4 linked regions of the Tribolium castaneum genome follow. The protein of the gene in region 3 purifies or fractionates together with the protein of the main gene of each other region. This does not show direct contact. Links are inferred from orthologs where the notes say so. Each region holds a gene or a part of one and is shown on either strand. Other genes may lie near its edges.

Region 1 (6,121 bases), on a different chromosome or scaffold from region 3:
AGTCGTTCCGCCATTGGTTGAACGAGTCGGTGTTGTATTGCCGGCACCAATGGGGACACGCTTTGCAAGGGGATCCTTATTGCGTTTCTATGCTCGCGTAATTTTTTTCTGTTATTCCGACACTCTGTACAGTCATGCCTAAATGTCAAGAGGGGGAAGGAAAATCAAAGAGAAAATTGACGACATTTTTTTTAAAACTAGCAGGGTACGCAACAGAAAAGTTTAAAGAATTTTTAAACTGATTATTAGAATATTAGAAAATGCTAATTAGTACATCGTCAATTAGTACTTTAAAAAAGTGATCATTTTTTGAAAATATTTTTTTTAGTTTTACTGCGGCGATTTTTTGGTAAAAGATTATACTCTAAAAATTACTTCTAATTCAATAATATTGTTTTTGAAGCAGTGTTTTTTTTAAATAAAATATTAAAGTTGCGTTCCAAGTTCATTACTACGATTTTTGGAATTTGTATCTATAGATGTTTTTTATTAGAGTAATTTGATTAGTAAAATTTTTCGCAAATAAAAATTATTTTGTGGTAATTACAAATTAAAAAAATAATGATTTGTTAAAGTGCAATGCTCATTAGGTGACTATAATAAAATAAATAAAAATAAATCATTAAAACTGTTCTAGCGTTCTAAAGTGTTTTTTTTTTTATTTTTTCAAACACAATAGCAATGCCAATTAATTGTGAACACCATCAGTAATTGAACTTTTCTTTGTCATTCTTAATAAGTTATTAATTTTATCACCAACGAGCTTAGGAAATGTAATAGACAAAACTTTTTATTTAAAAGAATACTCATTTTTCCCATGTTCCGTTCAAATAAGCTTTGTTAGGAGGTTGCACAATGAGTGATAGTAAAAAGAATTATACAATTCACACAGTATACTCGTACATGTTACTTCTCAATGTTCTCATGTTCTCACAGAATTCATGTTTTTTTACAATAGATATACTTATTTCGTCTTTTGATATGTAAAGTAAAAATAACTGCTAAAAATAGTTATTAATAATACGAGTGCGAAAACACAAGCTTAAAGTTCGAGGGCTGTCGTTATGCAACGAGCGTATGCGAGAACCCGGAACTTTAAGCGTTTTCGCATAAGTATTATTAAGTTTTTTTTGTTGGAACATTTTACTTTAAAACACGTTGCTATGAGAAGCGAGTTTTAAAATAGTGAAAACATTAATTTAAAACACGTTACTATGGGAAGCGTCTTTTAAAATAGTGAAAACACGCTGCTATGGGAAACGTGTTTTAAAATAGTGTTTTTCTATTTCGGTTTCGTACTGAGGTCACTTTCATTACGATACGCGATTTGCGTATCGTAATATCCAACGGAGTTCTATAATAATTACACTAAAACCAGGGTAATTTATTTGGATAATGTTTACAACCTAGTTTTCTGACAATCATTTGTTTCAAATGTATATTTTAATCAAATAAATCAAATATGAACCTTTAGAGGCTCTTGTACCATACATGATTCAGTGCAAGTAAGTAATTTGAGATCTCATATACTAATATAGTCTAGGATTCAGATATTAAAAAAGGCTTAAAATTTTACCAACAAAAAACATTTTTTTAATTTACCACTTATAGAAAACTTTGTATATAATGAACTGATTTTGATGCATTTTCTGAATATGTTATAACTTACAGCCGGATTCCACTGTATTTTATTTGCTATTTTAGATTGTTCAGTAAGTTTTTATAGGCAACCAATCATACGATTTTTCGAACGGAGGCTTCTTTCGTAACAAAACACGGTGGCAAAGTTTCTTTTCTAAATCTGACGTCCCTTAAGTAGCATATCACCTAAAAATGATTTTTTTTATTAATTTTAATTTTTTATTAATGACAATAAATTTCATGGCAATGTAAAAGTATACTAATTTCACATTACATTATTTGGATTTTTATCAGTACTTACAATTTCAAAGTACCCATAAAAAATTATGTAAAGTATTTGTGAAATCTGGTCTTTAAAACACACACTATATAAGTATATAGTATAAGACTAGTATATATAGTATAAAACTATAGTATATTAAAGTTAATATACTATTAAAATTTTGAAATTTTTAATAGTTTTTGCAATCGTGTTTTAATGCAACCGAAAAAAACTCAGTTCGAAAAACCGTATAATTGGTTGCCTGTACACCCAACTCTCTACACCACATAACCTACATGTTTAACTTCACATTTTCAACATGTAAACAAATAGTTATTAAGCGTAACAGTGATAAACTAATTAATAAGTTGCAACAAAAAGCGCTGAAATGGATTTTGACGATCCCGCCCTTCTCAAAAAACCAATCAAAGAAATCGAAGTAATTCAAGTTTCAAATTACAAAACCTAAAAGGTATTCAAAAATCATTTTTAGGAAAAATGGAAACTAGTGCCCGCCTTTTTAAAAGTCAAAGGATTAGTAAAGCAACACATTGATTCGTTCAATTACTTCATCAACGTTGATATTAAGAAAATCGTGGAAGCCAACAACAAACTAGTTTGTGATGCCGATCCTTTATTCTACGTCAAGTAAATTATAAGGCGCTTTATAAGTTTGGTTTTATCTTAATTTCGTAGATATACAAATGTTTATGTTGGACGACCGGACGTTGACGAAGGCTTCAACATTAGCAAACCTACAACCCCTCATGAATGTAGGCTGAGGGACATGACGTACTCAGCCCCCATTTCCGTAGATATTGAGTACACTAGAGGCACTCAGCGGGTATCCAAAGCTGGTTTAATGATTGGCAGGTAATTTATTAGAAAAATAAAAAAAAATATTGTAAAAACACCAATAATTTTTTTAAATAACAATTTAGAATGCCAATTATGCTCCGTTCCTCCAACTGCGTCCTCACCAACAAATCCGAGTACGAATTGGCAAAAATGAACGAATGTCCTTTAGACCCCGGCGGCTATTTCGTCGTCAAAGGCCAAGAAAAAGTGATCTTAATCCAAGAACAGCTCTCCAAAAATCGAATGATAGTTGAAGAGTCCAAATTTGGGGTCCAATGCGCTGTCACCAGCTCCACACATGAGAAGAAGTCGCGAACCAACGTCGTATGCAAGGCCAACAAGTACTACCTAGGACATAACTCCCTAACTGACGTAATTATTTTGTGCATTCATCGTCAAATTCCCAACAAATTTTTGCAGTTAGTCCCTGTTTCAATCATCTTCAAAGCTTTGGATGTGACAAGTGATAAAGAAATCTGCGAATTGATCGGAGTTGAGGATATTTCTAAACTCACTCCAACGTTAGAGGAGTGCCACACTTTAAAAATTTACACTCAGCTGGGGGCACTTAAACACATAGGTTCGAAATTAGTAGCTAAACGTTACGTGACGTCTGCTAGCAAAATGAAAACGCCAGTTGATGAAGCGAGGGACGTTTTGGCGACCACTGTTCTAGCCCACGTGCCTGTGGAAAACTACAATTTCAGGATGAAGGCCATTTATTTGGGAGTGATGGTCAAAAGGTAAATAAAAAAGTCAGATCATAATCACCGGGTGACAAAAAATTGAAATTTTAATTTGGCAACCCTGAGTATAAAATTCTCTTGTCAATTGTCTGAGTGTTGCCAATTTCAAGGTACAATATTTAACAATTTTTTGTAAAAAAGGGTGATTGAGGCACAGTCGGACAAGAAATTCATGGATGACAAAGACTACTACGGCAACAAGCGTCTCGAATTGGCCGGCTCTCTCCTTTCTCTTATGTTCGAGGACGTTTTCAAACGCTTTAACTGGGAACTAAAATCCATCGCTGAAAAAACCATCCCAAAAATCCGAGCGACTCAATTCGACGTTGTCAAGTATATGCGCTCGGATCTGATCACCAATTGTCTGGTCTACGCAATTTCGACGGTAGCCAATCACAAATCGCCGCGATTCGGCTTCTGATTGGTCGGTTTCAGGGCAATTGGACCATCAAGCGATTCCGAATGGAGCGTTTGGGTGTGACTCAGGTTTTGTCACGGTTGAGCTACATTTCCGCTTTGGGGATGATGACCAGAGTTAATTCGCAGTTTGAGAAAACGAGGAAGGTTTCAGGACCCAGGTCTCTGCAGCCGAGTCAGTGGGGAATGCTGTGTCCGAGCGATACACCCGAAGGAGAGGTATATAGTAAATTTTGTTTGCTTTTTTATACATAATATTACGGAGCAAATTAAATTCTCTGACTCTTTTTTGTCTTACGCCATTTAGTTCTGTTTTTATCATTGATTGTCTAGCAATAGCGTTCGCACGTTTTTAAATTGTGCTCGTTGCTCGCAAAATGCAAACACTTCAGTTAAAACCATACAACAAAAATTGATAGAATAAAGTAGCTGTTTGGTGATTTTTTTATTCGATCGGTGAAAAAATTAAAAAAAAAATTCTCGATGTACTTATAGGGAAAAACGTTCTATTATACACGTAAAGAAAAGTTGGCATTATCTGCTCGTAATTCCTTTCAGAAACCCATCACTCACAGATAATGAACAGCTTTTCTTTACTTGTATAATAAACGACTATTTTTTAACGATTACCAATCTGGTCAGCTGGAATAAGTATTATTGGTTGCATATTTATAGAAATTCAGAATAACTCACTATTGATTCACCCTGTATAGAAGTCTAACTTTACTAATAATTAAGCTACAGAAGACGGGAGCTGAGCAGGGTTATCCTGTATGAATGATTTGTATAAAATTTCCTTTTTTTTTGTTAATACGACTTCTTTACCTTGTCAGGCTCTGTTGAGCAGAGTTTAAAACATCGAACGCAAGCCAATGCTGTAGTTAATATAGTTATTAATAATACGAGAGCAAAAGCTTAAGCTTAAAGTTCTAGAGCTGTCGTTATGCAACGAGCTTATGCGAGTGTAATTTAACTTTTTTTGTTGGAATATTTTAATTTAAAACACGTTGCTGTGGGAAGCCTTTTTTGCTAAAAATTAAGATAGGCAATATCTATAGTCAAAAATTTTATTTACCAAAAAAAAATTCATAACTCGAAAACTAAAAGTCGTAGAGCAATGCGGTTTGTTCCATTGAATTCAGCGGCTTATTTTGCGTATAAAACCATCTTTTAACAAGATGTAAACTTTTAAAGTTTTTTGCTAAAAATTAAGATAGGCAATATCTATGGTGAAAAATTTTATTTACAAAAAAAAAAAAATAATTCATAACTCGAAAACTAAAAGTCGTAGAGCAATGCGGTTTGTTCCATTGAATTCAGCGGCTGATTTTGCGTATAAAACCATCTTTTAACAAGATGTAAAGTTTTAAAGTTTTTTGCTAAAAATTAAGATAGGTAATATCTATAGCGAAAAATTTTATTTACCAAAAAAATTCATAACTCGAAAACTAAAAGTCGTAGAGCAATGCGGTTTGTTCCATTAAATTCAGCGGTTCATTTTGCGTATAAAACCACCTTTTAACAAGATGTAAACTTTTAAAGTTTTTTGCTAAAAATTAAGATAGGCAATATCTATAGTGAAAAATTTTATTTACAAAAAAAATAATTCATAACTCGAAAACTAAAAGTCGTAGTGCAATGCGGTTTGTTCCATTGAATTCAGGGGCTCATTTTGCGTCTAAAACCATCTTTTAACAAGATGTAAACTTTTAAAGTTTTTTGCTAAAAATTCCGGTTATCCTCGATTTTTCCGTTTCTCGATAACTCTAATAGTTTCGCCGTAATTGGCGGTTGAAAATTGAAAAAAAGTGAAAATGGAAAGTGAAAAGTCGTAGAGCAATGCGTTTTGTTCCATTGAATTCACCGGCTCATTCTGCGTATAAAACCATCTTTTAACAAGATGTAAACTTTTATAATCTAGGATTCAGATATTAAAAAGAAGGCTTCAAATGTTCCATAACCGCCAAGTGTTAATTCCAGGCGTGCGGATTGGTGAAAAACCTGGCCTTGATGACCCACATCACCACCGATGTGGACGAATACCCCCTCATCCGATTGGCTAACAACGCTGGAGTTGTTGACATTAACATGTCCTCAGGCATGTCCATCCACTCCCCTGAAACGTTTTTTGTTTTCTTGAACGGTAACATCCTCGGAACGATTCGCAACTACAAGAAACTGATCCACACATTCCGGA
Region 2 (5,430 bases), on a different chromosome or scaffold from region 3:
ACCGCAACACTGTTGGATAATCCAGTCTTCGGGGAATCCTCGTTGTGTAATAACACGTCAATGACGAATTTTTCGACCACTTGCCCAACATCAACAAACAACAAACGAGGTTCGATTTTCTCTCGGATACGTTCGAATTCACGAAATCCGAAGGACAAGTTTCATAATTTTCACGGATTCGGTTTTAATGAGTCTTGTTGGCAAGGTCGTTCGATTAAAATACGCACGGTGCGTATCAAGCTGACACGATTGTTTATGTTTTCGTTATGTTCGCGTCATTGTTTATCGTGTGGTGTGGCATTTAGGCAACATCGGGATCAGTAGTGGTTGTTTCTGTAATTTTCCTGCTCAATGGATTAAACAGAACGGTGGGAATATGTTAAGGTGACGTGTTTGCGTTGTTTGATCACATGATTGGAAATTTTGGATGCAATGTGATCACTGATCACACATTTATGACAATAATTAAGGTATTATTGTTGTTGTTACGTCATTGTTTCCGCTCCTAAAATATTTTCTTTATCTCTTGTTATCTCAAGTGTAGATCTGTTCTCGCGGATTAATTTGCGCGTTTCAGGATCGTAAATTTTATTCAAGACAAATTGCTGGGATAAAACAAAGAATGTTCAATAATCTTCGCAGATAATAAAATAACGCGTAGCGGATGATTTTCCTGAACGAAAGCTTCGTTCTACTGTTGATCGAATATTGTAATTGGAAATCAATAAGATCGTTTTTTGAAAATTGCTTTTCTTTTTATTGCCGTTACTAATACAATGCGGAATTCTCATGTATTTACCTACATTATAATAAGTGTTCACGTAGGTGTTTAGTTCATAAATTGTGGAACTTGCTCGTTAGGTTTTCTGCAGGTTTTAAGCCTACAGATGACCAACAATAATACAGTGTGCAATTATCGTTAGATTAATGATCCATTTAATTTAAAAGAAGTCTTGAAAGACGTACTTACAGGTAATTTTCTGATTTATTTTCTCAAGTCTAAGAATAACTCGTGTGTATGCAGTTAGGATTCAATAATAAAGCACCGTTTACATTGAAGTACAAGTCTTTGTACTCCTTGTTTGATGGATTCATGTTTTTATACTGTTATGGATAAAATGCCTCATTAGGGCATCAAATTAGTTCATTAAACCCTAAATAAATGTGTGGATCCTAATTCTTGGAAAATGCATGAGTAATTGTTTAAAACGAGTAGTGTATAGTCTATCACTATTTTAACTTTTTTTGCGTAGGATGCTATCAAACACGTAAACAATTAAATACGTTCGATATAACATCTTTCTCATGTAACATTAATTCTAAATATACGAGTATTAAATAATAAAGGAAACGTCACTGAATAGAATCTTGTTACATCATTTATTTCCAGTGTCAAAGAACTTAGTTTATTAAATATTTAGAACCAATTAACGAATATACCGACTTTTGAAAGTTGTTAATTTATTAATTTTATTTATCTAATATTTAGGAAAACAAAATCAATTTTCAGTTTGAATAAGCCGAAAGGTGACAACTCTGGGTATTTATAGAGTGAGTTATCCTTGAGACTCTTCTGAATGTCATGGTTTGTAAACGTAGTGCAAGAAGCTACACACAAATGTATGAATAAGGGATTGCTTTTTTGTTGAAATGATTTCTAAAAAATACATGTTGTAGCAAAAAAAAATCTAGTCAACTTTATCAGGGACTTAGGTGAAAAATAAGTAAAAGTTAGGTACTGCAAACTGTTCAAAAGTTTTAAAAACTTTTTATCAACCATAAATCAATATCGTATTGATTAAACTTTGTTGTCTTTTTTTTAAATATTAATTAACAGTATTTTAACGCAATATACTTTGTGAGTGTGAGTAAAAGGAACAATTAATTGTAGTTTAGGTTGTTATTTCAAAGAGGTTTTAAAGACCTTTCTTTAAAACCTCTTTATGTTAACATACCTTTATGTTAAAACTACGACGATTTGGCTTATCTATAGATATTTGTATACTTTTAAGTAAAAAGAAATATAAATTTATTTTTTTACTTTTAACATTATCTTCCACTGTTATTTAGTTATTTACTTATATTGTTATGTATTTTCTTGCATATTTTCTACATACATACATTGTGGTAAAGTCCTACATAGGCCGAAATCATTTTTTTTTATATGCAACTAATAATACTAGAATAATACCGATTTCAGCTGTCCAGATCGGTAATAGTCCAAAAAGTTATTTCACAATTACATTGCTCTTAGTTTTGCCTAGTTTGTCTTAACGGTTTTATTATTTAAAAGATCAAAAAACAATGTTTTAATGGACGTTTTAAAAATCAAACGCAGTATCCATATAATAAGTGTAAATACTAATTAGTATTTTTTGTTGCGTCTACAGGGTGAGTCAATAGTGGGTGACTTCTGACATGTCCTATGATGCAACCAAAAATACTAATTGCACTGACCACTTGGAGCTTCATTTGACTTTTAAAAACATTAATTGAATCAACACTGGTTTTTTATCTTTTAAATAATAATAATCTATAATGAAACCTTAGCAAAACTGTCAAGACAAACTTGACACTACCCAGAACAATGTAAACTTGGATTAAATTTAATTTTTGTAACGATTACCGATCTGGTCAGCTGGAATCGCTACTATTGGTTGCATATTTATAGAAATTCAGAAATAACCCACTATTGACTCACCCTGTATAACGACATGTTGGAAATAACCCATAAATAATTCACCCAGTATGAATCGATGAATTGTGAGGAAATGCTTCTGTTATTATTTATTGACCATGCAAATAGAATAACTTTTATAAGCTTATTTAGAAAACATTATTATTATTATTATTGTAGTGGTGTTTTGAGTTTCCAATTTTTCCCACGTATTATCTGTTGCATTAAATTGTAATCTGCTAGTTTCTGTACAAAAGGAACCGAAATTTAGAATTTCCTTTTGTTAAATTATCATTCTTGCAGACTCACTTCTGCAGTTTATGATTTTCAGGTGATTTCGCTTTGTTTGAAAACATTTTAATTTAAAATTAATATTTAGTGTGTGAGAGAGAGAAGGTTCGCCGCTTGTTTTTCCGGGAGCAGCCTCAAAATAAACTCAATTTCAAGCCAGCGTTATTTTCCGGAGTAGCGGAATTATTAACAGAGCTCTCTTCTGGTAATTTAGTTCATGAAATTGAACATTAGGGTTTTCCCTCGCAGTTAGGTATAAATAAATTCAGGCTGAACAGCCGTCGGAAAAATTCAAAAACGTTTTTCAACTTCAGTTGATATTGACAATTTATTTGTGATTTGTTGGAAGATTGGCGTCAACAAATCGAACTTGATTATTGAGTAAAATGGACGGACCAAGGAATTTTATAAAAATTGTTTATTGTCACTTTTAACAATGATCGATAGGAAACCTTTGCTCGGGGCGTTTTATTTTTATTGAATATTATATTTCTCGCTTCGACGGATTCAATTCTCTTATTTGATTTGACTCTTGGATTTTTTATAGGTGACAAATTCCGATTGGTTTTGGCAACAACTCTGCGAGAGGATGGTTATCCCGATAGTGGCGATTGGAATCCTCAGGGCTTAGAAACAGAAGGTTCGCGTGCCGACAGCTTTGAGTATGTCATGTCAGGAAAAGTTTACCGTATCGAGGGTGACGAAGCAGCAGTGGAACCATCGAGCAGACTGTGAGTATAAACATTAAATTACGACCCGCATTGGATTTATCGCGTTTCCTCTATTTGAAATTTGCATTTTAATGCGCTGTTGTACTGCCTTTATATCGGTCGTTACACCACTAAAAGGGAAATACGAGATTGTACGACGTCCACTCATATTATATTGAGCTGCATTATGTTGTAGTGATTTTCCTGATAAGTGAGCCACAGCTATTTATTTTTATGGATGCAATATATTTAATAATAGGCTTTATTACGATTTTTATCATTCTTTACTTGCTTTCGACGATTGTTTTTACTTAAGACGCAAAAGAAACTTCTAGAGGAGTAAGTTTTCTTTTGGTAACTTACTGACGGTGCTTGGAGCGTGGATACGGATATCTAAAGCTTAGGATGCGAAACGACGTACAAACAAAACGTTCTCGTTCTTGATGGTGTTTTTTAATGACGCCAGAGAGCGCAGTTGTTTCACCTTCAAGTTTTCAGAGCAGTGAATTTAAAAAATTGTTGTCTTTGTATATAATTAGCACAAGGCAAAGAAATGAAATACAGGCAGATAGAGCATTCAATTCTCAATTATAAGAGATAAAAATGATGCAAAAATTTTATTGTAAACTATGTTTAAAAAAATTCAAATTTATATTAATTTGCACTCTGCCCTATATTTTTCAAAACTTTGCGAATACAGTTACAGTACAAGAAAAATATTAGGAAGAAAGTTGTAAAGAATTAAATTTTATACAAAAAAAAACCGCGACACTGTATTTCTATCTTTTACAATTTTGGTATAAATTAACTTTGTTAGTTGACCACCAGTAAAAGGTAAAATGAAAGAAATCCAACGCTTAAGCACCTTTGAACGTCTTTGACGCTTAAACCGTTGATGATAGAGATACGGTCTCGCAGACTTTTCTAAAAGAAAATTTTTTCCATCTTTCTTTCTCATATTTTTCTTGTATCTTTAACCGTATTCGCAGCGTTTTGAAAAATACGGGATGAATCGCAAAAATCTTAAATAATTTTCTTCTCACGTTTTTCATGAAAATTTTAGTCGTCAGTTTTTCTCAGTCTGCAAAGCTCAACATTTTAACACTTTTTCCAAGTAATTAGTGAATTGGGTTTCAATTTGTACCGGAAAAGTCCTGTGATTTCGTATCTCGTTCGTCTCCTAAGTTATTGCCCTCCGTAAGCGTGGATTAATAGAATATTTTTAGCAACTGAATCGTAAGAGTAATTTGCGTGTGAAGTTTTAACAAAAATATTTGCATGCCACTGTTTTAACAGAATATAAGCTTGTTAAACTGCAGGTATAACTTTAATTCTTTCTCTTTAACGTTACATTTTGTTGAGTCTTTATTTGCGTATAAAAATTGCAAAATACAAAATTTAGTATTTTGTATATTGCATATTGCTCGTAATTGTTAAGTTAAAAAGGCGTATTATTTTAATACCATTTTCACGGAATAAAAAATACCTATCTAGTTAAAATGTGTACAATAATTTATTGTTAATTGGTCGACCAAATTTGACAAAATGAAGCTAATTTTCAATGATTACCTGAAATCGAGAGAACAACAAATCGAATCATTCGGTAATATTTAAAAGCTTTCTGAAAACATTTGTTTACCTTTTAAAAAATATTTGTGTTAGTATTCATGCTAAATAATTTGCGAAAGCATTTTTCATTTCTTTGGTTTTAATTTATTATAAATTATAATAAATAAAACAGATATTGTTACA
Region 3 (5,940 bases):
GGAACTAGCAGGCTGTAATGAAATAACGGAGGCTGGTTTATGGGCCTGTCTGAATCCTAGAATCGTCTCTTTGACACTAAGTGACTGTATAAATGTTGCCGATGAAGCTGTAGGCGCTGTGGCTCAACTCCTCCCTGCATTGTACGAATTCTCCCTCCAGGCCTACCATGTCACGGACGCCGCTTTAGGTTACTTTTCGCCAAAACAAAGCAACTCACTCAATATCCTCAGACTGCACTCGTGTTGGGAAATCACCAATCACGGAGTTGTAAATATTGGTAACATACTCTCATTGAAAAAAAAAACAATTTTAAAAAATCAATTTGCAGTTCATTCTCTCCCGAATCTAACGGTCCTCAGCCTCTCCGGATGCAGCAAAATCACCGACGACGGCGTCGAACTCATAGCTGAGAATTTACAAAAATTGAGATCGCTCGACTTGTCGTGGTGTCCTCGAATCACCGATGCTGCCTTGGAGTATATCGCGTGCGATCTCAACCAATTAGAAGAGCTTACACTCGATCGGTAACCAAACAAATTATAAGCCACAATTTCATTTAAACACAACGCAAAACTAGATAATTACGACAAAAATTACCTTACTTTAAGCTAAAAATTCATTTATTAAAAGTATATCTCTATATCTCTAAAACTAAGAACCACACAAAATTCAGCGTTTGCTATTCAACACTTTATATTTCTCCCTGTGCCTGTGAATTTTTTAAAAAAATTTCTACAATTCCTTATATTTCAAATTAATTAAATATATGAAACACTAAAAATAACTGTATAACCAACTTAAATTCAAATTTCCACAGCCTGATGAGATATCATTTAATTTGAAAGAGTATATATTTTTTAATTTGTTTTCCTTAGCAACGGTATCGATTATTGCTCTTTTGTTTTCTAGGTTATTGAATTTAATTTATTGTTGAAATTACAAGTTTTTAATTGTTTTGCACATCATTATACATTAATTGTTGTTTTTTTTAATTTGTATTTGTTTAATGTTGCAAGAGCTCGCTAACGAAAGTCAAAAAGTATGATATGAAACAAAAATTAACTTAAAAATTTAAGTTTGAAGACCTAAATCTCGTGAAAGAGGGTTCAAACAATTTTTTGTCATAGGAACTTTTAATTCAGCACCCAAGAAATTGTACGGTACTTTTGAATCACCGTGTATAGAATTCAATTTCACTATTTTTTTATTTTTTTAATTCAGCTTGTAAGCATTTTAGCATTTCAGTCTCTTAATACGAGTATATTGATTTTTTATTTTAGACTGTGTGTTTCAATTATTAGTGTTTCTCATTTTCAGTATCTTCTACTTTCTAGGGAAAAATGCTAGTTGCAGACTAAATTACTTTTTAATGTTGTAATGTTTAAAGTAGTGTAATTTTTTTTTATAAAAAATAGATACAGTGAGTTCATTTTTTGGTTGAAAGAAATTCTTACAGAAAACGAACCAATTTTACACCAGCAAATTTAAAACAATATTTAAGTTAAACGATTAATTAACTTCTTTTTTTATCCCCTTAATTAAACGCTCGAATTTACTTCTCGAGTTTAAATCTTTACGGAGATAAAATACATCTAAGACCCTTATACAATAAATAACAATTTTTTTCAACAAGAAAATTTTTTACAAAAGATATTTCGTTTTGTTTGTTTTTGTAATAGAATGTTTTACAATAAAAAATATGTTTTTATTATTCCTGATGTAGGAATTAAAAAAATATATCGGAAAATACCAGATTTTAACACGTAATTTCTGTTTTTCCAATATTTTTTGCTTCCTAATTAAAGTAAGTTTTAACCTCATAAAACTCCAATCTGTATTAATTAATTATTTCTTAAGCATTTTAAGATGTTATTTTGTGCAAAAAATCCTAAAAGTAATTTTTCCCAATTTTTTATTTTTTAATTTTTAATTAAAAAATATTTAAATACATGCTGCGGTGGTAGATTAAGCTTATTATCAATTTTTTGTCCAAAACCTTGTTTCAGGATAACACTATAAATAATAAAATTTCCATTAGTTTATGTTTATTTTTACTGATATTACTGATATTAATTACTAGTATTAATTACTATTAATACTGATCTTAATATTTTTATAAATAACTCTATAAGGGAGGGTAAAAAATTCTGAAAAAATTCACTTGTGTGGAAAAAAACATTAAATATAAAGCAACACACCGTGATTCCTATGCGATTATTAGTTTTTGAGATATAGTAAAAAATACTTTTAGCAGAAACACTTGCATTGTGTTTAATGTATTTTTTAAAGTTGCAATAACTGGTGGCCACTGATCAAAACGCAATCCGCTTTATTCGCTTTATTTCACAGATGTGTTCACATCACCGACATTGGCATTGGTTACATTTCAACAATGTTGTCTCTATCTGCACTCTATCTGCGCTGGTGTTCACAAATTCGAGACTTTGGACTTCAGCATTTATGCGGAATGAGAAATTTGCAAATACTATCGTTAGCAGGTCTGCCACATACCACAAATAATGACATAAATAACTGAATTCGAAATTTCAGGGTGTCCATTATTGACTTCTAGTGGTTTATCAAGTCTGATTCAGTTACGACATATGAGAGAATTAGAATTAACAAATTGTCCAGGGGCATCAAAAGAACTTTTCGATTATTTGAGAGAACATCTTCCGCGTTGCCTCGTTATAGAATAAGTGAACCACTTGTCCACTTGTTATATTTGATACTAGATTGTGCAATAACACTCGATTATTTTACACACGGCTTTCTTGACCAATCACAAATTGACAGAAAAATAACAACAGATGGCGCCACACAATGTGTTACTGATCAAGAAAGCTGTGATTTTACGGTTTAATTCGGTATCGTTCGTCACCTTGTCTCGTGTTTGATTCGACTTTTCCCTAGTTTTAATTTAGTTAATGTGGTGTAAATAATGAGAATATGTTTCGCAAGTAAATCAGAATGATATTTTACACACGTTCATACTTTATATCCCTTCCATAAAATTAATTACCTTAATTATCCCACCAAGACAACAATCCCAAACCTGGCTCATTTATGCTCCCCTGTGACAAACAAATAATTTTAATCAAGTCATACAAACCCAAGTTTTTTTCTTACAGTTAAACTATACGGCACTTTATTTTCGGACTTGTCTTGTGTTTCTTGTAAACTACCAGTGGGGCAAGTCTCATTAAAAAACTCCGCAGTTACGCGAAATTTGATCGTTTCACCAGCATCCATGAAAAGGTCATGTTTGCACCCGTCTCCTGTGTCATACTCCCACACCCATGCTTGTTCAGTTTCGTTAAACTTTGAAGGGTGCTGAAGGGCACTGGGAGGGATCAAAATATCGTCAAAGAAACCAAGAGTCACTAAAATTCGCAATCATATTTAACATTTCACAATATAATTGTCGTACCGTGAACCCCTTCCTGACTGCAACTCCTGATTTTCCCCACGAGAATCTCCTCAATAAAGGGGCGAAAAACGATGTACCTGAAGCTGACTCTAGTGTGTGAAGCCCCATCACCGGGAAATATAAACGATTCTTGGAGACTGGTAATGTCGTATAAAGCTATACACAAACCAACGTTGAGGACTACCTTAAACTGGGGGTTAAAAGGGGCTGAAATGTGCTTCTAATCTCACCTTGTTTGCTAGTTTTTTGTTTAATTCTCCGGCTATGGCGTCGTTTAGTTTCAAGTTGAACAGTTCGGGGGGTATTCGGGTCACATTTTTCATTTCAGCCACTATAAACATCGTTTAACAATTGTTAAACTTGTTAACAGCTTCGTGAAATTTTGAGGTTGTGTTGCACAGGACGCGCCGAAAACACATGGAATAGTGGTACCAATCTATAAACCCAAATAAACTAACGTATTTTCCAGAGTTTTTAAAATTAATTTCGCAAAGTTATTACAATAAGAAACCCGAATTTGGTAACAATTTACCGTGGGATTAGTTATGCAACTGTTTCAGTAATTGTTTTAAAGCCGAAATTCCGAAAATTACTTTTTGGAGACTATTCATATTTGCAACAGGTTGCATCATTCAAATTTGGAAGTCCCTAGAATTAAATAATTTTTGTTGTGTTTTGTTGTGGTGTGTTTTTGTGAATTTGCACACGTTTTTGCCCTACTTAAGGCCTTTCAGTCGCAATGGCCACCAGGGAGAAAGACCCTTTCGACAGCGACGAGCAAAAACACTCCGATAGTGATGGAGCCCCAAAGCAGACTTTTGAGCCCGAAATCGACAATCCAGAGATGTTCATGAAACCGGCGTGTGAGTGCCAGAACTGCGTCCATTGGACCCAAAGCGCCGACTGGACAACGCCGGATTTGGAGTTCGAGGGGCACCACAAACGTGTTTGCAAAGAGCGGAAGATTCAACCCTTGTTACGATCGGCACGACATCCAGGGAAAACCCCTAAGATCTTCACTTTCAATCCTGGCACATTGACAAAAATTGAGAAACAAAGCTACTTGAAGACCCTAGTTCACGGGTACTTTGCGCCACTTTAGACCAATTAAAATTATTGAAAAATAATTTCAGGGAGGTGATCCCCCAGCCTGTAAAGTTGCTAACAGACACCTACTTTAGCGACGAAATTCAAGCTGCTTTGGGTCGCCTTAACTACAAGTATAGTTTACCAATCCAATCATTCGTCTGGCCCGCAATTTTCAGACAATTGAATGTTGTTATGGTAGGGGGGCCTAAGTCGGGGAAAACCATGTCGTATCTCCCGGCCCTTTGTACCTTCAGTACAGCTGAAGAGGAAAAATATCGACAATTATCAAAGTACAAGGGCCCGTTAGTGGTTATTATTTGTCCAAACAGCAAACATTGTGAAGATGTATACGATTTGATGAAAAAACTGTTTGAAAATAGTGCCACTAAACCAAAAATTGCCCTCATGACATATCCAGTCCACCACATTGTAAGTCACACAGCTTGCCCTTCACGTAGCTGGTCGCATTGTGTGGGGCCATCTGTTGGTTTCCACTGACAAATTCTCTTGTAACCATAGTTACAGCAGATAACCATGGCAATAACACGAATGCGACCAATCGTGTGAAGGGAAACATATCATGAGATCATTAGAATTTATAACCAGAGTGGGCTTATTAGTTTTTTAACTTATATGAAAACGCCGATTATCATAATTAATCAAGCCGAAGAGTCAAGTAATAATACTGTTTCGAACGGTAATACTCAGTTAAAATAGATTTTTCCTTCAGTTTGCACCAGCTTAACAATCACAAAGAAAAAAACACCTACTCTTTTTATAAATTCAAATGATCGCGCTTGACTATTTTTTAGTCATTTGTTATTTTCAGAACAGCGTTGATATCGTGATTACAATCCCCAGCACTCTTACACATTGCCTTAAATCTCGGACTTTTAATTTGAAACGAATGTGTCACTTGGTGTTAGAAGACGCGAGTTGTTTACTAAAAAACAATCACGAAGAAATTTACAAAATTTTGGAAGTCACTGATGAAATGCTTGAACACAGGATGTGTAGCACCAAAGTCCAATTCATAGTAGCTTCAACAAAATGGACATCGGATTTGCAAAAATTACTCAAATCGATTTATGTAACACCACTTGTTTGCATAGGGAATTATTTGGAAGCAGCTCTATATGGGAACATCCAATTCGAAGTAAAGTTTTTAGTGTCACAAAACAAGAAACACTACATTGAAGGATTATTAAGAGACAAGAGTCATCTTTTTAAAACTATTGTTGTGTGCCATAATAATGAAATAAGCGATTTGAATAAATGGTTGGTTCGAAACGGCATCGAAGTCATGGCTTTAAATGATGATTCGACTAAGGAACAAATCGAGGTTTGTGAGGAAGAATGGGCTTTTATGAGAGGTGGCCAATACAAAGGTAGGTTTAATGTGGCTCCATCTATTGATATT
Region 4 (6,130 bases), on a different chromosome or scaffold from region 3:
TCGTATCTTCCTTCTACATAAAGCAAGGAACTTTTTTATGCAAAAGATACTACGTAAAACTGCATTTATTGAGGAATCTTTTGCAAATAAAAAAAAATGTTTCTAGCTTTATCCAGAAGAAAGATACAAAGATGTAAATGCAAAAGTTAGGTTTTTGTAAATTTTTCACCAAAACATCTTTTTCGTTGAATTAAAAAAATCTATGACTCAACATTTTTAAATACCCCACAATAACTTACATAAAAAATGCACGCTTTTCCACAACATTTCGATTTAAAGGCTTAGTTAGCTAGACTTTAAGGTCATGGTTAGCCTTCCGCGCAAACATGTAATTAATAATGACAACACGTTTCAAAAAATTTGTGTAAAAAATTATTTTAATTTATTCCCACTCTCGTGTGGTGTTCGATAACTAGTTTTTGACCATTTTTTTGAATATTTAATAAATAATATTTAATAATTTAATATAAGTACGACAAATTTAACACTTATAATGATCGCTTTGTTAGAACCTGGTAGTTTTGTTTCACAGACGTAAATTTAAAAAATCTCTAATTCAAAAAAAAAAAACATACAGACTAAAAACTACAGATACTAACAATCTGCTAGGTTAATAATAGTCATTTACTAAGTGAAATATTGTAAATGCTTGGTAAAATAATCTAAATGCAAAGTGATAATTTTCTTTTAATGAGATTTTCTAAGAAATAATAATAGTAATTACTCCTAATAAAACATATACCTCCCTAAGTATCTAACATCCACTTGCTAAGGTAGATATTTGCTATGCTAGTCAAACAATTTTTGATGTAAAAATTTGATTAAAAACCTCTCTAAAAAATAAAAAGTAGTAGCCCCTCTTCTAATTAATAAAAAAAATTGATTTTTTTTTCTTAAATACTATAAATTATCTTCAGTTGAACTTATGTTTTCACACAGCGTTTATATTTATTTTTTACCTAACAATTACTATTTTCACCCAGCATTTAATTTATTCCAAAAAATTACTGGTAGCAGATGTTAAGTAAACCATATGAAAATGAATGATTTTCTGGCTTTCATAATCGTCAAAAAATAATCAATTGAAAGAGTACTTAAAATAATATTACTAAAGATTATATAAATTTAACAATGTGAGCTCCTATACAGACATGTGCGGACAGATATTTTGTCGGTTATTTATCCGCAATAATATTGTTCGGACAAATGTGCAGACGGCTAACCACGGCCAAAATATAAAAATAAGAAAAACTTACGTCAGATAATTGCTCGTCTGCCGCCCCCTGTGCCCTCATCCCCATAATAATCGTGTCAACACGTTGTTTCTTATCGATAATTCTCTTATGAACCAACCTTTCGTGATTTTTTCTAGTCATAATATTAAATAAAGTTTTATAACACAATTCTAGAGTCATTCGCACGATTTGGTCCAAGTTTGTATAAAACAAAGTGAAGCTTTTATTAGGACCATTACTGGTCGATTTTTTCAAATCCTGGACTTGCAAAAAATTCTCTTCCAGGAGCTGATAAGAGAGCCGTTTTGCTTCTTTAGCCGGAATCATTGCCAGTTGTTGAATCTGATCCGGTTCTATGTATTGTTTCGACTTAACAAGACGGAAAATCCGGGCGGCTTTAGTATCGAATTTTTCCAAAACTATCTGTTCCACAGTCTCCCATGCAAATTGAGTGAACGTCTCTTTCAGAAAAATTTGAAAAGAACCGCCACCTGCCTCTCCCGACTGTCTAATTAATTTAGAACTGTCTTGCTCTAAAAAAAAATATTTGGACTGGCAACAACTTTGACTAACGACTAATGACTAACCCAAGACATTAACGTATTGGTCAAAAAACGCCAAAAGGTGTTGATGAGTGGCTTGTTTCCTTACAAGGTCCCGAATTTCAACAATAGGGACTGGATTCGAGACCTCAGCCCAAGGCTGTGTCCTAATGTACATTTGTTGTAGCAAAAGTCTGACAAATTCACCCGCGTTTTCGTCAAACTTTTTAATAAAAGCATTCACAATTAATTTGTCTCTCATGTCTTGATGAAACCTATCGAAGTTAACAGTCCAGTAAACGCCCTGGTCAGGGAGAGAATCCACTGGTGCTTTATTGCTCTGAACTAAGGCAATTTGTTTAAAATCAATTGTCGGAGGTGCAAACTGTTCCGTCTCTTTTATCACTAAACTAGGAACAGGTTTATCTTCCATACTATACGGCAACCGTATCAAATATTGCGCGGCCAACAATGAAAAAAATTTTTCTCTTAAAGCTAAAATTGTCACGTTTTTGTTATGATCTTTTTTCAGTCTCTCAATCACTTTCAGGATTAATTCAGACGCCGTCCAGTAGCTCCGCTGTAGCAATTCTTCCATAATTAATTCACACTCAGTCCCAAATTTCTTTTTAATTAAATTAATGTATTTGGCGTAGCGCAACATTAATAAAACACGCTCATGTTGCAGTGTATAATTTGCAACGTTTTCATTGCGATTGGGGGTGAACGTGACCAATCTGTACTTTATTAAAATACATAAAGCTTCCTTGACCTACAATTAATAAAATAAGGGGCAAAAAGTGCACAGTTTCATTTAAAATACCTTAGATATGGGCAAATCTGTGTGCTTTTTGATGTACAGAAGGGGCACAGTTCCGTACTGAAACAAGTAAGTGCCCACCTTCTCGACCACGGGGCCGAAACGTTCGAGTAAAATAAGGGAAACTACCCTTCCGTATTGAATCGACATCGGGATCAAATAAAAAATATTGCAATGTGATTACTTAGAAAAAATTAGGTTAGGCTGCTTGTCAAAATGTAGAAATACAGGTTTCTTTGTTACCGGGAAAATAATCAGTGGTCCGTGGGTTTTAATTTAATTTAATTAGGAACTAATTTATTGTTTCTTAGTGCAAAGCAACCTAATTCGAATTACTTTAAGTTGGAATTAAAAGTTTCATTTGCTTCGTCTAGGCCATACACTTGTTATATATTTGGTTGCATAAGCAGTTTTTGAATCCTGAATAATAAACTTTTTTTATTGTTAAATATGCAAACGCTTGCCTAAATACATTTTTAAATCGGCAATCGAATTGATTTATTGTTAAAAAACCTGCCACAAGTCCATTAACTGATGTAAATTATTGGCAATAAATAATCCTAATTACATACAGGCATCGGGCCTTCAATTCAGTTTTGAAATTTTTCAATAATAATTTTGTAATTGAGTCTCGTGAAAAATTCATTAGGCATAGGCGCTAAGAAGGTGTAACCTCCATATGCAATTTTTAAATTGTTTACAAATAAGTTTATTAAAAATTTATAAGCAGAAGGTGATGATGAGGTGCGATTTATAGAAACAGATGCGTCGTCGGCTTGTGGGTTTACGAATCCATATTTATGAGATTGTTCATAATTCAATTAATTACAAATTATTCATATAATTTATGTCGTTTTGACTTTACCATTGTGCAACTCCGATGATGGTTTACTTATAAATTGTACTTGCAACTCGACTTTACTACTTTATTAAAAAAAACACGTGGACTTGTAGGTGGCTTAAATCACGACTACTCAAAACACAAATCCGCTTATTAAAAAATAAAGTAAATAAAATTTGAATAAACAAATTTAAGGTCACACATGTGAATAATTGCACAAAATGTTGGCTCCGCCACACCCTCAAATCGTTACTACAAAAAAGTCATAAACAAATGACATCAATTCAATTAGTAAATCAATATAAAAGTAGCAAGTCACGTAAAATAATCCAGAAAAAAATTTAATATCAAGTTTTTTAACCCAGTCATATACAGCAGGTCCATAAATTATTGCCTAAGTAGATGTGACAGGAAGGGGAGCTAGACGGCTTGGTAACAAAAACTGCACGCATGACAAATGATACCGGTCGATTTAAACCGAATTCCTTCATGCCATGAATAAACCGGCAGTGATTCTCAAAACCCACCACAAAAGAAGATTTAACATATTTTAACTCATTAAAAAAATATGAAACTGTGGTGGCTCCTAAACCTGAATATTTTACCCAAAGTAGCCTAAGACTTGAAATTAAGTTGGCAACGTTGACACGAAATTGAAGAGCCCAATGTTGCCAATTTAATTCGATCGTCGTAGGCCACTTGATGACAATGGCATTCTGATATGATCTGCGCCGCCCCCAAACTTAATTTAAATGTTTATTGAAGCATAAGTCGCCTGAAGAAAATATCATCGATCGCCTCGGAAGCTGCAGCAGCCTATGGAAAAGCTTACCTACTCCCACTCTCTTTTTGTGCTTTATCCTCCCGTGTATTCGATAGCGAAAGCGTGCTGTAGAAACAACTGAACATCGCTCACACAGCGTGTCTAGTCGCCGGTGGATTGTGATGTTCTAAATTTTCTCGTCTCGCCGTCTAGATCCTGTCAGAAATTTTAAAATTTCGACGTTTCATGTGACAGTGACAGCATCTAATGAATTAAAGTCACAGTGAATTTTATTTTACGAGCAAAAAATAATGAAATAACTAGAGTCGGTCTAAAGTGTCGTCTACCTGTACGAGGGGTAAGTGGGATTTTCTCTACTTAAATTATTTACCTAGAAGTCTAATGCCTGGCGAGTGGTTTTAATTAAATTTATAGTCCTGCATTTCTAAAAACCATAAAGATATAAAAGTGTCCTCGGTGAGTTATTGCTTGATAAAGACACTTTAATGAGTTGAAAAGTTAAGTAATATTTAAAATAAATTACTTTAATGTCTGTCATTAAACAATTTTCATTCCTCAAATTTCTGGTGCATTTTTCTGTACAAGTTAATTATGTTGTTCAAACCATACCGGTTACGTGTAGGGGAAATAGTAATTAAGCTCTCCAACCCCTTGACATCACGCCCTCGTCTGTATTGTCTAGACCTGAAGTTATTAGAACTAGTTGTTAACAAACCAAAAATATCTTCAAATCACGATAAACTGTCTTTTTCTTAAAAAAAACCTTATCTTTTTGGAATTAACTGATACCAATGTTTGCCCAAAAATATGGCTAAACAATCAAATGCCAGTTCCCTAAGTAAGGACTACATTTACTTTTAAACCAACATTTGCATACTGTAATTATAATAATTTAAATAATAATGATTAATCTGTCTATTAACTGGAGATTAAACTGTCTGGGCTTGTTTATTTATCTCCTGACACCTTTGAAATTAATGTATTGTTACATAATTAATTTGTTTAACAAGGAAAAATAGTCATTATTTTTTCTTTATAGTCGGATTATATGTTCTGTTGCTTTAATTAAACGAACAAATTGTATAATAATCGGCGAGAAATGAAGTTGTGTATAAACTTTTACAATGGCAATTGCTGATAAAATGTTTGAATGCAATTTCAGATAAATATTTGATTCTAACACACCTATTTCATAATATCTGATAATTGATAAACTACTGTTTCCGTTTTTGAAAAAAATAAATTCCTGAGAACTGAACAAATAATTGATTTTGAAAAGAGCGACCCCTATTCAGGCAAATACTAATTAGTCATAAGTGTAGGTAATATCTTATTTTTCGCAAAATTCTCGAGAAAAAATGTTTGTAAATAAAATGCGAAACGTGAGTGTTGTAGTGTTTTAAAATAAGCAAAACGTGCCCAAAAACATATTGTTTAAAGATTTAAAAACGAAAAGTACGTAAACATTTTTCTAAATTGTACTTAGATCTACGTTTGATTTTTAAAATGCTGTATACGGGGAATCAGAATTTTCAAAGAAAATCTTGAAATTTGCAATCCTTATCAATTATTAATTTAGTAATGTGGGCGTGCGTTTCGTCATTTCATTGTAGTTCAGTTAACTACGAAATAACTTGAGTGGAAAATTTCAATGTGTAATTTTGGCCGCTTTCGCACAAATTTGACCATAAACGAATTTATTGTAAGTATATGGATGCAGTTTACGTTTGTTTACTTTATTAATCTTTTATTGCCTCCGAGACAAGATAAAAACTAACATTCCGTAGTTAAAATAAATACTAGTTCACTTGTTTTTTAATCTTATCAAACAGCTCATTTAAGAAATATTTGATTAATAGTAATAGAACCGTGTCTACTTTTTTAGCTTGTGTCGTTTGTTGATGGTAA

The links.
Region 1: the proteins of Polr3H (region 3) and Polr3B purify together in Homo sapiens (affinity purification with mass spectrometry; 8 studies listed by BioGRID and IntAct, with this or other methods). This does not show direct contact. The link is inferred for Tribolium castaneum from reciprocal best matches to the Homo sapiens genes POLR3H and POLR3B.
Region 2: the proteins of Polr3H (region 3) and Polr2H purify together in Homo sapiens (affinity purification with mass spectrometry; 5 studies listed by BioGRID and IntAct, with this or other methods). This does not show direct contact. The link is inferred for Tribolium castaneum from reciprocal best matches to the Homo sapiens genes POLR3H and POLR2H.
Region 4: the proteins of Polr3H (region 3) and Polr3C purify together in Homo sapiens (affinity purification with mass spectrometry; 5 studies listed by BioGRID and IntAct, with this or other methods). This does not show direct contact. The link is inferred for Tribolium castaneum from reciprocal best matches to the Homo sapiens genes POLR3H and POLR3C.

Annotation. Positions count from the first base shown.
Region 1 is NC_087398.1:9,957,277-9,963,397, reverse strand, and holds the start of Polr3B (DNA-directed RNA polymerase III subunit RPC2), read left to right. Parts: upstream 1-2,148; 5' UTR 2,149-2,291; coding exon 2,292-2,342; intron 2,343-2,396; coding exon 2,397-2,551; intron 2,552-2,599; coding exon 2,600-2,776; intron 2,777-2,844; coding exon 2,845-3,133; intron 3,134-3,181; coding exon 3,182-3,504; intron 3,505-3,648; coding exon 3,649-3,892; intron 3,893-3,942; coding exon 3,943-4,143; intron 4,144-5,904; coding exon 5,905-6,121. UniProt on the Homo sapiens protein: Catalytic core component of RNA polymerase III (Pol III), a DNA-dependent RNA polymerase which synthesizes small non-coding RNAs using the four ribonucleoside triphosphates as substrates.
Region 2 is NC_087396.1:10,296,566-10,301,995, reverse strand, and holds part of Polr2H (DNA-directed RNA polymerases I, II, and III subunit RPABC3), read left to right. Parts: intron 1-3,515; coding exon 3,516-3,699; intron 3,700-5,430. UniProt on the Homo sapiens protein: DNA-dependent RNA polymerase catalyzes the transcription of DNA into RNA using the four ribonucleoside triphosphates as substrates.
Region 3 is NC_087394.1:25,643,601-25,649,540, reverse strand, and holds the start of Polr3H (DNA-directed RNA polymerase III subunit RPC8), read right to left. Parts: upstream 3,867-5,940; 5' UTR 3,773-3,866; coding exon 3,662-3,772; intron 3,616-3,661; coding exon 3,432-3,615; intron 3,385-3,431; coding exon 3,131-3,384; intron 3,076-3,130; coding exon 3,025-3,075; 3' UTR 3,024-3,024; intron 2,983-3,023; exon of another isoform or gene 2,701-2,982; coding exon of another isoform or gene 2,552-2,700; intron 2,500-2,551; coding exon of another isoform or gene 2,351-2,499; intron 526-2,350; coding exon of another isoform or gene 330-525; intron 279-329; coding exon of another isoform or gene 1-278. Other genes in the region: F-box/LRR-repeat protein 16, read left to right, coding at 1-278, 330-525, 2,351-2,499, 2,552-2,700; putative ATP-dependent RNA helicase TDRD12, read left to right, coding at 4,171-4,514, 4,565-4,949, 5,350-5,908.
Region 4 is NC_087402.1:6,495,913-6,502,042, reverse strand, and holds the start of Polr3C (DNA-directed RNA polymerase III subunit RPC3), read right to left. Parts: upstream 3,983-6,130; 5' UTR 2,748-3,982; coding exon 2,601-2,747; intron 2,550-2,600; coding exon 1,823-2,549; intron 1,769-1,822; coding exon 1,257-1,768; intron 1-1,256. UniProt on the Homo sapiens protein: DNA-dependent RNA polymerase catalyzes the transcription of DNA into RNA using the four ribonucleoside triphosphates as substrates.